2 linked regions of the Bombyx mori genome follow. The protein of the gene in region 2 binds, or shares a complex with, the protein of the main gene of each other region. Links are inferred from orthologs where the notes say so. Each region holds a gene or a part of one and is shown on either strand. Other genes may lie near its edges.

Region 1 (4,537 bases), on a different chromosome or scaffold from region 2:
ATTTAAAATTACAAAATATACCAAAAGAGTGTAGATTTCAAAAGTTTAATACAAACACAAGAAATAAACTCAATTATTTGGATTCAACTAAAAATAGAAAAATGTGTACTTTAAAAATCAAACACAAAAAACTTTTAAGTATTTATAAACACTTGTCCAAAAATTCTAGTTCAAGGTCAAAGCGCGTGAAATTAAATTCAACGATGCAAATAGGCTATACTGCATTCAAGTTAGGGTCGAAAGTTGAAACTTCTTTCCTTAATTGTATCCTGCTGATACGCTAAGAATAATCTACAGACATATGGACTTAAATATAAGGTTTACAATTGTATGGATAATGCCTATTTCTGTTTCATTCATTACATGATATCCCTATCGCGCGCTCACTCACTCTGGCCGATTCGATACGAACCAAACGAATATTGCTGATATTAACGAATCGGTACGATATGCCGATGCGCATCACATCGAGCAATATCGTGTATCGGCTGATATCGAAATATAGATTTCGATTCACGAATCGGTCCGATATCGCGATATGGCGATGCGCATCACATCGAGCAATATCGTGTATCGGCTGATATCGATATATAGATTTCGTGCGGGGCGATATCGGATTCAACGATATTGCTGCGATATATAGATATTGAATCTATATACGATTTATATCACCCACTCCTACAATCAATAGTCATGACGGACATATAATAGGAGCTAAACCAATAAAGTAAAAATGAATTCTTCTCAGTCGTACACTTCTGGCACAGTGGTCGTGGTTACGTATGTCTTAATGTTTGGTTGCGGCTTTTGAGAGACTTCTCCATCTCTCTCTATTTGTGGTGGTACGTGTACATTTAGTAAGGAAACACTTCGTAGATGAATCAAGTCTGTTCACCTTGTGGATGATCGGCCGCGAGAGCGTTGCCGTCTACTTTTCCTTGAACCACTAAACATTCCAATGAGCTTTCATTACGAATGATATGTCCAAACATATAAAGGATTCGCAATTGCACATGAATAGGGATGTATTTTTTACTATATTGATTGGACAGACAAGATCACAGTTCGATTAAATTCCTGCTTTTGTACTCTATTCATTATAACATATATGTCGGCGCAACGTCACTGTTTAGTTAACTAAAAATAGTTGAAGTTGACTATATTCTTAATGTTACACATATCAACAACTGTTTAAGACGGTATTCAAGAGAATTCATAACTAAGCTACTCGCACTATTCTAGTATAAATAGGAGTGATTATTGTCGCACAAAACATTCCAGCTCAAGCTGTTGAACGAGGCAGAATTCTCTGCTCTTATCCTTGTACACTTGAAATTAAATAAATGGAATTCATTGGAAAAATGAATCTTAATTAGTGTCACTATGGAAGGCAATGATAACAATGAAGAAAATGGTGTCAGAAACGCTGACATCATCATTTTAAAAACCCCATGGAACCAGCCAATCTGTCATATACATAATATATTAATATGTAGGCAATAAGCATAATAGTTTAACTGGTAAACATAATTTATTGTTCTACAGCTTTGAAACACACACATGAGCTTTGTCATTTAAAAAATATTCATTACTAACTTGTCTAGCAGTCTGCAACTGCTGTCTCTGTGTGAAGGCATGTAACATCAGGGCGTCCCACTCATCTTGCATGCTTTTCAGTGTGGCAGGGATTGATGTGGCACTTGGAGGTTTTGGCTTTACTATAGGTGGTGCTATTTGAGAAATGAATTATTCATTACTATCTCTTGAGTTTTCATTGAGACAAGTTTTAGGCTTTGTTAAGCTGAAGTTTTGCTGTCTCATATGAATTATAAGATAGCATTATTACACTAATCTTCATAACATTATATTGTTTAAAAAAAATTGTGTGACTATTTCTTGCATGATGTATATAACTTGATCTTGCAATTTAGCTGCTTTGCTGAATATGAGTACACAAAGTGTGGCCTTGGGGCTATGATGACTACAAATGAATACAATCTTGTACTTATTATTCATTACTTAATCAGACATTTAAAGTACTTTAAGAGTTTTCGGTCTCACTATGCGGTCTCACTATGTTACAGAGTCTATCATACTCGTCAAAATTAATATCTTATGTATTGAAGTAGATAAGATATTGTTTAATTTATTATATAATTTAATAATTACTTCTTAACCTCTTAGAGGAATTTAAGCCATTTATGATTGAAAGGTTCCTCACTTTTGATCTCAATAAGGTCCTCAACTCTCAACTCCTTGCCGTTAATAGGATCCACGCCATTTTCTATTATGTACTTCTCAATGATTCTCCTTTCAAACACAGCTCCTGACGTAGGTGATACCACTGGTACTTCGGGAACTTCATTTGATACTAAATTAATAAATTAGGTTATTCACATAAACTGTTAATTTTCATAAAACTGTAATATTCATAAAAATAGCGAAATAAACCCTATGAAATGGAATAATGACTTCTAAAATACAAATATCAAAACTTTTGTCTAAAATTGATGAAAAACTTTAGTAGCCCGGCAGGTACGCATCCGTTCAAAATAAACATACTTTATACGTTTCGCTCCTTTAATTTACAATTTACTGAATTTAAACTAAAACTTACTCGCACAATAGAGAGACATTTTGCTTATGATATCACTATAAAGGTTTGAAAATTCTGCACGGAGCCGTAAAATTACATGGAACCAAACAAAACCATTCCAACTTTCGACTCTAGGCTTTTTGAGTTTTGTGACCGCCATAGATATTTTTTTATTTGATTCGACCGTTAGACAGGCAATGGGAATGAAGCTCATTCACCACTTGGTAAAAAAGGTTGAAGCCATATCTACTGTTTAAAAGTGAAATAGACCAAAACGAAGTTGAATAAAATAAAATAAAATTAAATGACATGAGACAAACTGTTGGACGGTTATATTTGAGGGGATTGGGTTCTGTAGGTGATGAGGGGCTATTTAAAAACACAACTGCTTCATTATAATTATATTGCAGATTGCTTGAACACTTTTACACCATTATACAATTATTATCTTTATATTTTTTACAAAACTATTACATGTTTGTCTTGCCGTGTCTAGATGAGAAGTCATGACATTTTCTTAGGAGAATACAATGATCTGTTTTTTAAACATTTAAAATCATTCTAATATTCGAAATCTAATCAAGTGTCAAGTGTTGCCTGCCATTACATTTAATATACAAACTCCAACACAAACCGTAAAAAATGAAATAAACTGTCCGTGAAATAGTAGATATTTATTGAGAATTTATAGAACTACTATTTAGAAGAATCTAACACAATACAACATCCACACAACAATTGTGTTAGATTTTCCGCCACTTAAGCTCCCTAGCAGATATTAAATTGTTAAGAAAAAAAATCTATCTGATGCTTTCGTTTATTATTTTAACTTCCCACAATATTCTAGGTTGTCCATTTCCAATAAAGCTAATTTTTTTATTAATTCAAGTTGCTGACATCCTTAACACATCTTATAAGCTCCTAAATGTAAAGAGGATTAGTTCTACACTCCATACCACTCATCCGTGGTTATCGCATCATCTCCTTTGAGGCGGCGTGTGTACTGGCTGGGACGCCACCTTGGGTTCTGGAAGCGGAGGCGCTCGCCGCTGACTATCAGTGGTGGGCTGACCTTCGTAACCGGGGCGTGGCGCGTCCCAGCCCCAATGTGGTCAGAGCGCGAAGGGCCCAATCTCGGCGGTCCGTGCTGGAGTCATGGTCCAGACGGCTGGCTGATCCTTCGGCTGGTCGTAGGGCCGTCGAGGCGATTCGTCCGGTCCTTGTGGATTGGGTGGATCGTGACAGAGGACGCCTCACTTTCCGGCTCACGCAGGTGCTCAGTGGGCATGGTTGCTTCGGTGAGTTCCTGCACTAGATCGGAGCCGGGCCGACGGCAGACTGCCACCATTGTGGTTGCGACTTGGACACGGCGGAGCACACGCTCGTTGCCTGCCCCACATGGAAGGGGTGGCGACGTGTCCTCGTCGCAAAAATAGGAAAAGACTTGTCGTTGCCGAGCGTTGTGGCATCGATGCTCGGCGACGACGAGTCTTAGAAGGCGATGCTCGACTTCTGCGAGTGCACCATCTGGCAGAAGGAGGCGGCGGGGCGCGTGAGAGACGCACAAGCCCGCCGCCGTCGAGCGGGGACCAGGGAGGCGGATCTGGCCAAATCCCTGGCCCTCTAAGTGTTTCGGGTCCCCCTCATATGTCGGTCTGGGGCCCGGCGAATGGGGTCTAAGAAAACAACGTACAAGCTGCTCTGCACGCGTTTTACGCAAGAGCATCCAGGTGATAGAAGGCCGGCTATCCTCGACCCACGTTGGTTCTGACCCAGCGGGGTATTTCGTAGGATAACCCATTCAAACCGGCGCCATCTAGGCGGGCTTCGGACAGCCTGCCGATCGAGAGGGCTGGTGGTCGTGGCGCCGACGATCGCTGGCCCGGCGTCCCGAGGGGAAGGGTGATGGGAGAGATGTGCTCCTCACTAAACGCTTTAGTC
Region 2 (4,381 bases):
TCGGATTCTTCATCAATTGATATTTCATCAGGATTCACTACTTTGTCAGAACTCTCTTTAAGTCCTTGGGTTTCTCCTCTCACAAATAGAATGTTGCCTTTACTCTGTACTGCCATTTCAGCTGCTTTGGCTTCAAGCATTCTCATTCCATCTTTCATACCTGGTGCTAAATCTGATATAGTACCAGCTGCCTGTGCTGCAGAACTCAACATTTGTGCAGACATCATATTCACCTGTGTATTATATGTGGCTTGCACACTTCTTTTAATTCTTAACATTTCTCTCATTGTATCTTCATTACCATGCCTAACTTCAAATTCTTTCCAAGTGTTCCAAAAATCAGCTGTAATTCTAGGATCACACATTTGACTACAGTGTGCATATATTGCCCGAGCTCTATCAATTTCACCTAGGCGAGTTTCCATTTCTGAGAAGCGAACACACATTTCCCTAGCCTTCTCTTCAGGAAGAGTCTCAATAGCCTTTTCATAAATCTGTCGTGTTTTAGGAACTCCATAAATTTCAGCAGCTTTTTTAATATAAATATTGAACATTTCAAACATTTCTTCAGGTAGAACGGCAGTAGTAGCTCTCTCATATACAGACATTGCATGTCTAGCTAAACCATGCTCTTCTTCCAATTTTGCATATAATAAGAAAATAGACTTTGCAAATTCATTGGGACAATGCTCAAGACATTGCTCAAATAAATCTCTTGCTCTTTCAAGTTTTGAACCACCATATCTTTTTAAAAATTTTGTTAGATATGTATTCCAAATATCATACACATTAGGCCACTTGAATAAGGCAATACCCTTTTCATATGCTCTAAAAGCTTCTTCAAAGTAATTATGCTCTTCTAAAAATAATCCATAATTGATAATAATTTGTGGAGTAGCAATTTTTAAATCTATAATATGATCATACACAGCTTTGCAAGATTTGAATGTACCAAAACTCTCTTCTAAGTCAGCATACATGGACCAAACCTTTAGTGATTTATACAACCTCATTTGCACAGTTTCAGAATCATCATGATATGCTACTTTTCTGCTTGGTAAAACAGTGGCTCTTTGCATTAATTTTAGGGCTTGCTCATAATTTTCATGTCTGATTTCCATTTCAGCCCATTCACACCAAACTGAAGCTAAATCGTCTACTTTAACATATGCTACCTGTGTAGCTTTTTCAAAAATTAATCTGGCATCTTCAATTTGGTCATTGTTTTCATAAAATTTTGCAAATCCAACCCACAGTGTGAAAAGTTTACCAACAGCTAATTTAGGGTCTACAGTTTGCACTGCTTCAGTATATGTATCTATTATTTCATGGGGTTTACCTTCATATAATTTGACTCTTTTATGCCATTCAGCCACATTATGTGGATTTTGTCTAAGTAGAACTGAATTAAGCAGTAACAGCCTTCTTTCCATAAGATACTCAAATCTGGCAAGTCTCAATTCTAAATCAATATCATCATCTTCACTTGGATTAGTTTTCTTGGCAACTTCTTCCATTTTTTTACTAAGACTTAATTCCTCAAATTGTGCATAAGCATCAAATATTTGTGTAAAATCCCTCACTGTAGTCACAGTTTGTATAGCTTCTTCATAAATGTCTCTGGCTCTTTCAAAAAGACCACTTCGAACATAATAGTCTGCAAGAGAGTTCCACAGGTGGCCTAGCTGATCAGTGTAACGTCTTAATCCCCCTCTGATAATAGCGTCGACATTCAGAGAATGAATTTGATCAGGATTCTTTGATATCAATTCACATAATTCATTCCAAAGTTGATGATTTGACTTTCCATGTTTTGATTGAAAATTCTCATTATTAACTAGTTGAGCCAATTTGACTGCAGCTTCATCTAATTTATCTATTGAAGTTAAGTAGTCAATATACTCTTCAGTATCTTCAGGACATAATTTAAGATACCTACGAAACACTCTTACAGCTGTTTCGGGTATATTGTGTTTCTTCAAGAAATTTAAGTAAAGAGGCCATATCCTATGATGTTGAGTTATTGGTAAAGCTCTAAGAGCACTGTCAAACGCTTTCCTTGTTGTAGTTATTTTATACTGATCTGTTAAGAATGAACAGTAATCCATCCATATTCTAGGCATTTTGTGCATAAATACTAAAGACCTTTCAAAGCAATTGTTTACATCTTCATAGCATGGGTCAGCTATACAGCGACCTCTTATTTGTTTTCTTCTTAATTTAAGATAGTTATACCAAAGTTTAAAAGATCCTGGTAATTCTTTTAAAGCTCGTTCATATATCATATTAATTTCATGTTTGGGTGCAGTTTTCTTGTGTTCAATGTACCTAAGCCAATGTTTGACAGAAAATGGATTTCTTAGGATTTCCTCTTCATACGGAAGATCTTCTTCACTCTGTAACAATAACAATTTTATTTGAATTAATATGATAATAATGTTTGATATCAACGTACCAGAAAACCACAAAAGCTTTGGTTAGATTTTTTAAAGCAGTTGATATATTAAGGTTTCTTTGTTAATTGAATTTGGGTTGAAAAAAATATTTGTTGATTGTATTTTCATATGTCGGCAAAAGTAAATATGTATGCACACTAAGCATTGTAAATTATAAAAATATTTTTGAACTTACGAAGAATATGTCGATTTCTTTTCCGTCTAGAAGAGGCATTCTAAAGCTTTCGAATATGTACCGTAGGTACTATAAATTCAATTCAAACAGTTGAGTAATTGAATAATTAGCTTAATTCTATTTCTTTAGAACACACTCAAATATATTATGTGTATAATCTATGGAACACACTTCAGTGTTTAATCTATGACACACAATATCATAGATTGTACCTTATTTTTTTAAGAGATTTTATGACCTGGTAACTAAGACCTTTAGGTCATGTTTTATTTTAATTTATATTTTAATTTTTATGAAAAATCATAATATGGAGTGAAATGAAATGAGATGAGATGATGTGAGATGAAATATAATCTAAGTAAAATGGTGGTCATTTACTGAGAATTTTGATTCAGTGGACTTTTTGGAGAATCCCGAAAAGTTACGTCCAGTGGCTTTGTTTCATTTTCCCACTTTTGTGCACTTTCACAGATATTAAACAGTTAATAAACCACCGTTATTACACATTTAAACTTGAAGAAACACTAAGTAAACAAAATAAAACAAATCACACAATTTCACTCCTCGCGTTCCTGCCAAAAATCCGATTATAGATTAAAGAACGGAATAGATCCGATTATACCATAAATTTTAAGTATCTATAGATTATACACACTTGTGAGATAACTAATTTAAGTATTAGTTTGTGCGGCTTAATAATGTAACTGATCAAAATTAATTAATCTGAGCGATGAAAATAAAGATATCTAGTAAGGGGGGGCCCAACTTAAGGGAGATCATTTGTTTAATTAATTATAAATAATTAAAAGACGAACAAACAATTTTTACATTCGAAAATTAACGAACAAACGACGAACAAATAATTAAAAATAAAAAAAATCCAAAAATCAAAAAACGAGGGGCCAAATTTAGTGAGCCCTACCTATCTACTCCACGTGTAAAAGCGCTTCTGCTTTTGCCTTGGGCCTTGTAAGCTATCATAGATAATACGCTTATTATTTGAGTTTGAGATGTAAGCTGATTGTAACTTGTAAGCTATGTTAGGAATTATGGCCATCCATTGCCGTACTGCATGCAAACGTGTTGTTAAACAAAGATTTAAGTAAATATTAATTTATGTAACGAGAACTACATTCCGCTTGCCTACTAAGAGAAACTAGTAGAAAAAAATCGCTCCAAATAATAGCGTTTGTCATAGATAATAGACCATAAATAAATGTTTGTACAATTCCTTTTTGTAAAAAATATAAAACCTTTAATTTACTTGACTTCACCGTGCCGGTTAGAGAAGATTATTTTTTAGTTCTTTTTTTTTAGTTTAATGTGATACAAATGTATTTCTACTATAATGTCAAAACAAGGAAAAAGAAAAATATCTGTTGAATTGCCGAAAACGAAAGATCTCTCTATTAGACCTAGTGTGTTTGATCGGCTCGGTACTAAGAAATCATCAAGTGCTAAAAAAACAACTGAACATTGTAGACAGTGGGCCCAACACGGCAGCTGTGCTTACGGCAAAAGTTGTAAATTTGCTTCTACGCATACTCTTATCAGTCCTTCTAAACAACGCGCAGCTCATAAAGACAATGATCAGAAACGTTTAGTGAAGGATGATGGGAAGACTAGATTGCATTCTACTGTTATAGTGCGGTCAGGTCAAAGCCCCGAAGGAGAAATCGATAACTGGGACCAAAATGACTTAGAGTATGCAGACACAGATGTCCTCGAAAAACGAAGACAGCAGTTGCAG

Evidence for each region.
Region 1: pre-mRNA-splicing factor syf1 homolog (region 2) and pre-mRNA-processing factor 19 share a complex: the UniProt entries of both Homo sapiens proteins name them as parts of the XAB2 complex. The link is inferred for Bombyx mori from reciprocal best matches to the Homo sapiens genes XAB2 and PRPF19.

What each region holds. Positions count from the first base shown.
Region 1 is NC_085116.1:17,076,539-17,081,075, reverse strand, and holds the start of pre-mRNA-processing factor 19, read right to left. Parts: upstream 2,820-4,537; 5' UTR 2,811-2,819; coding exon 2,618-2,810; intron 2,372-2,617; coding exon 2,222-2,371; intron 1,731-2,221; coding exon 1,597-1,730; intron 1-1,596. UniProt on the Homo sapiens protein: Ubiquitin-protein ligase which is a core component of several complexes mainly involved pre-mRNA splicing and DNA repair. Required for pre-mRNA splicing as component of the spliceosome.
Region 2 is NC_085110.1:13,376,819-13,381,199, forward strand, and holds the start of pre-mRNA-splicing factor syf1 homolog, read right to left. Parts: upstream 3,011-4,381; 5' UTR 2,671-3,010; coding exon 2,632-2,670; intron 2,397-2,631; coding exon 1-2,396. Other genes in the region: zinc finger CCCH domain-containing protein 13, read left to right, coding at 3,980-4,381. UniProt on the Homo sapiens protein: Involved in pre-mRNA splicing as component of the spliceosome. Involved in transcription-coupled repair (TCR), transcription and pre-mRNA splicing.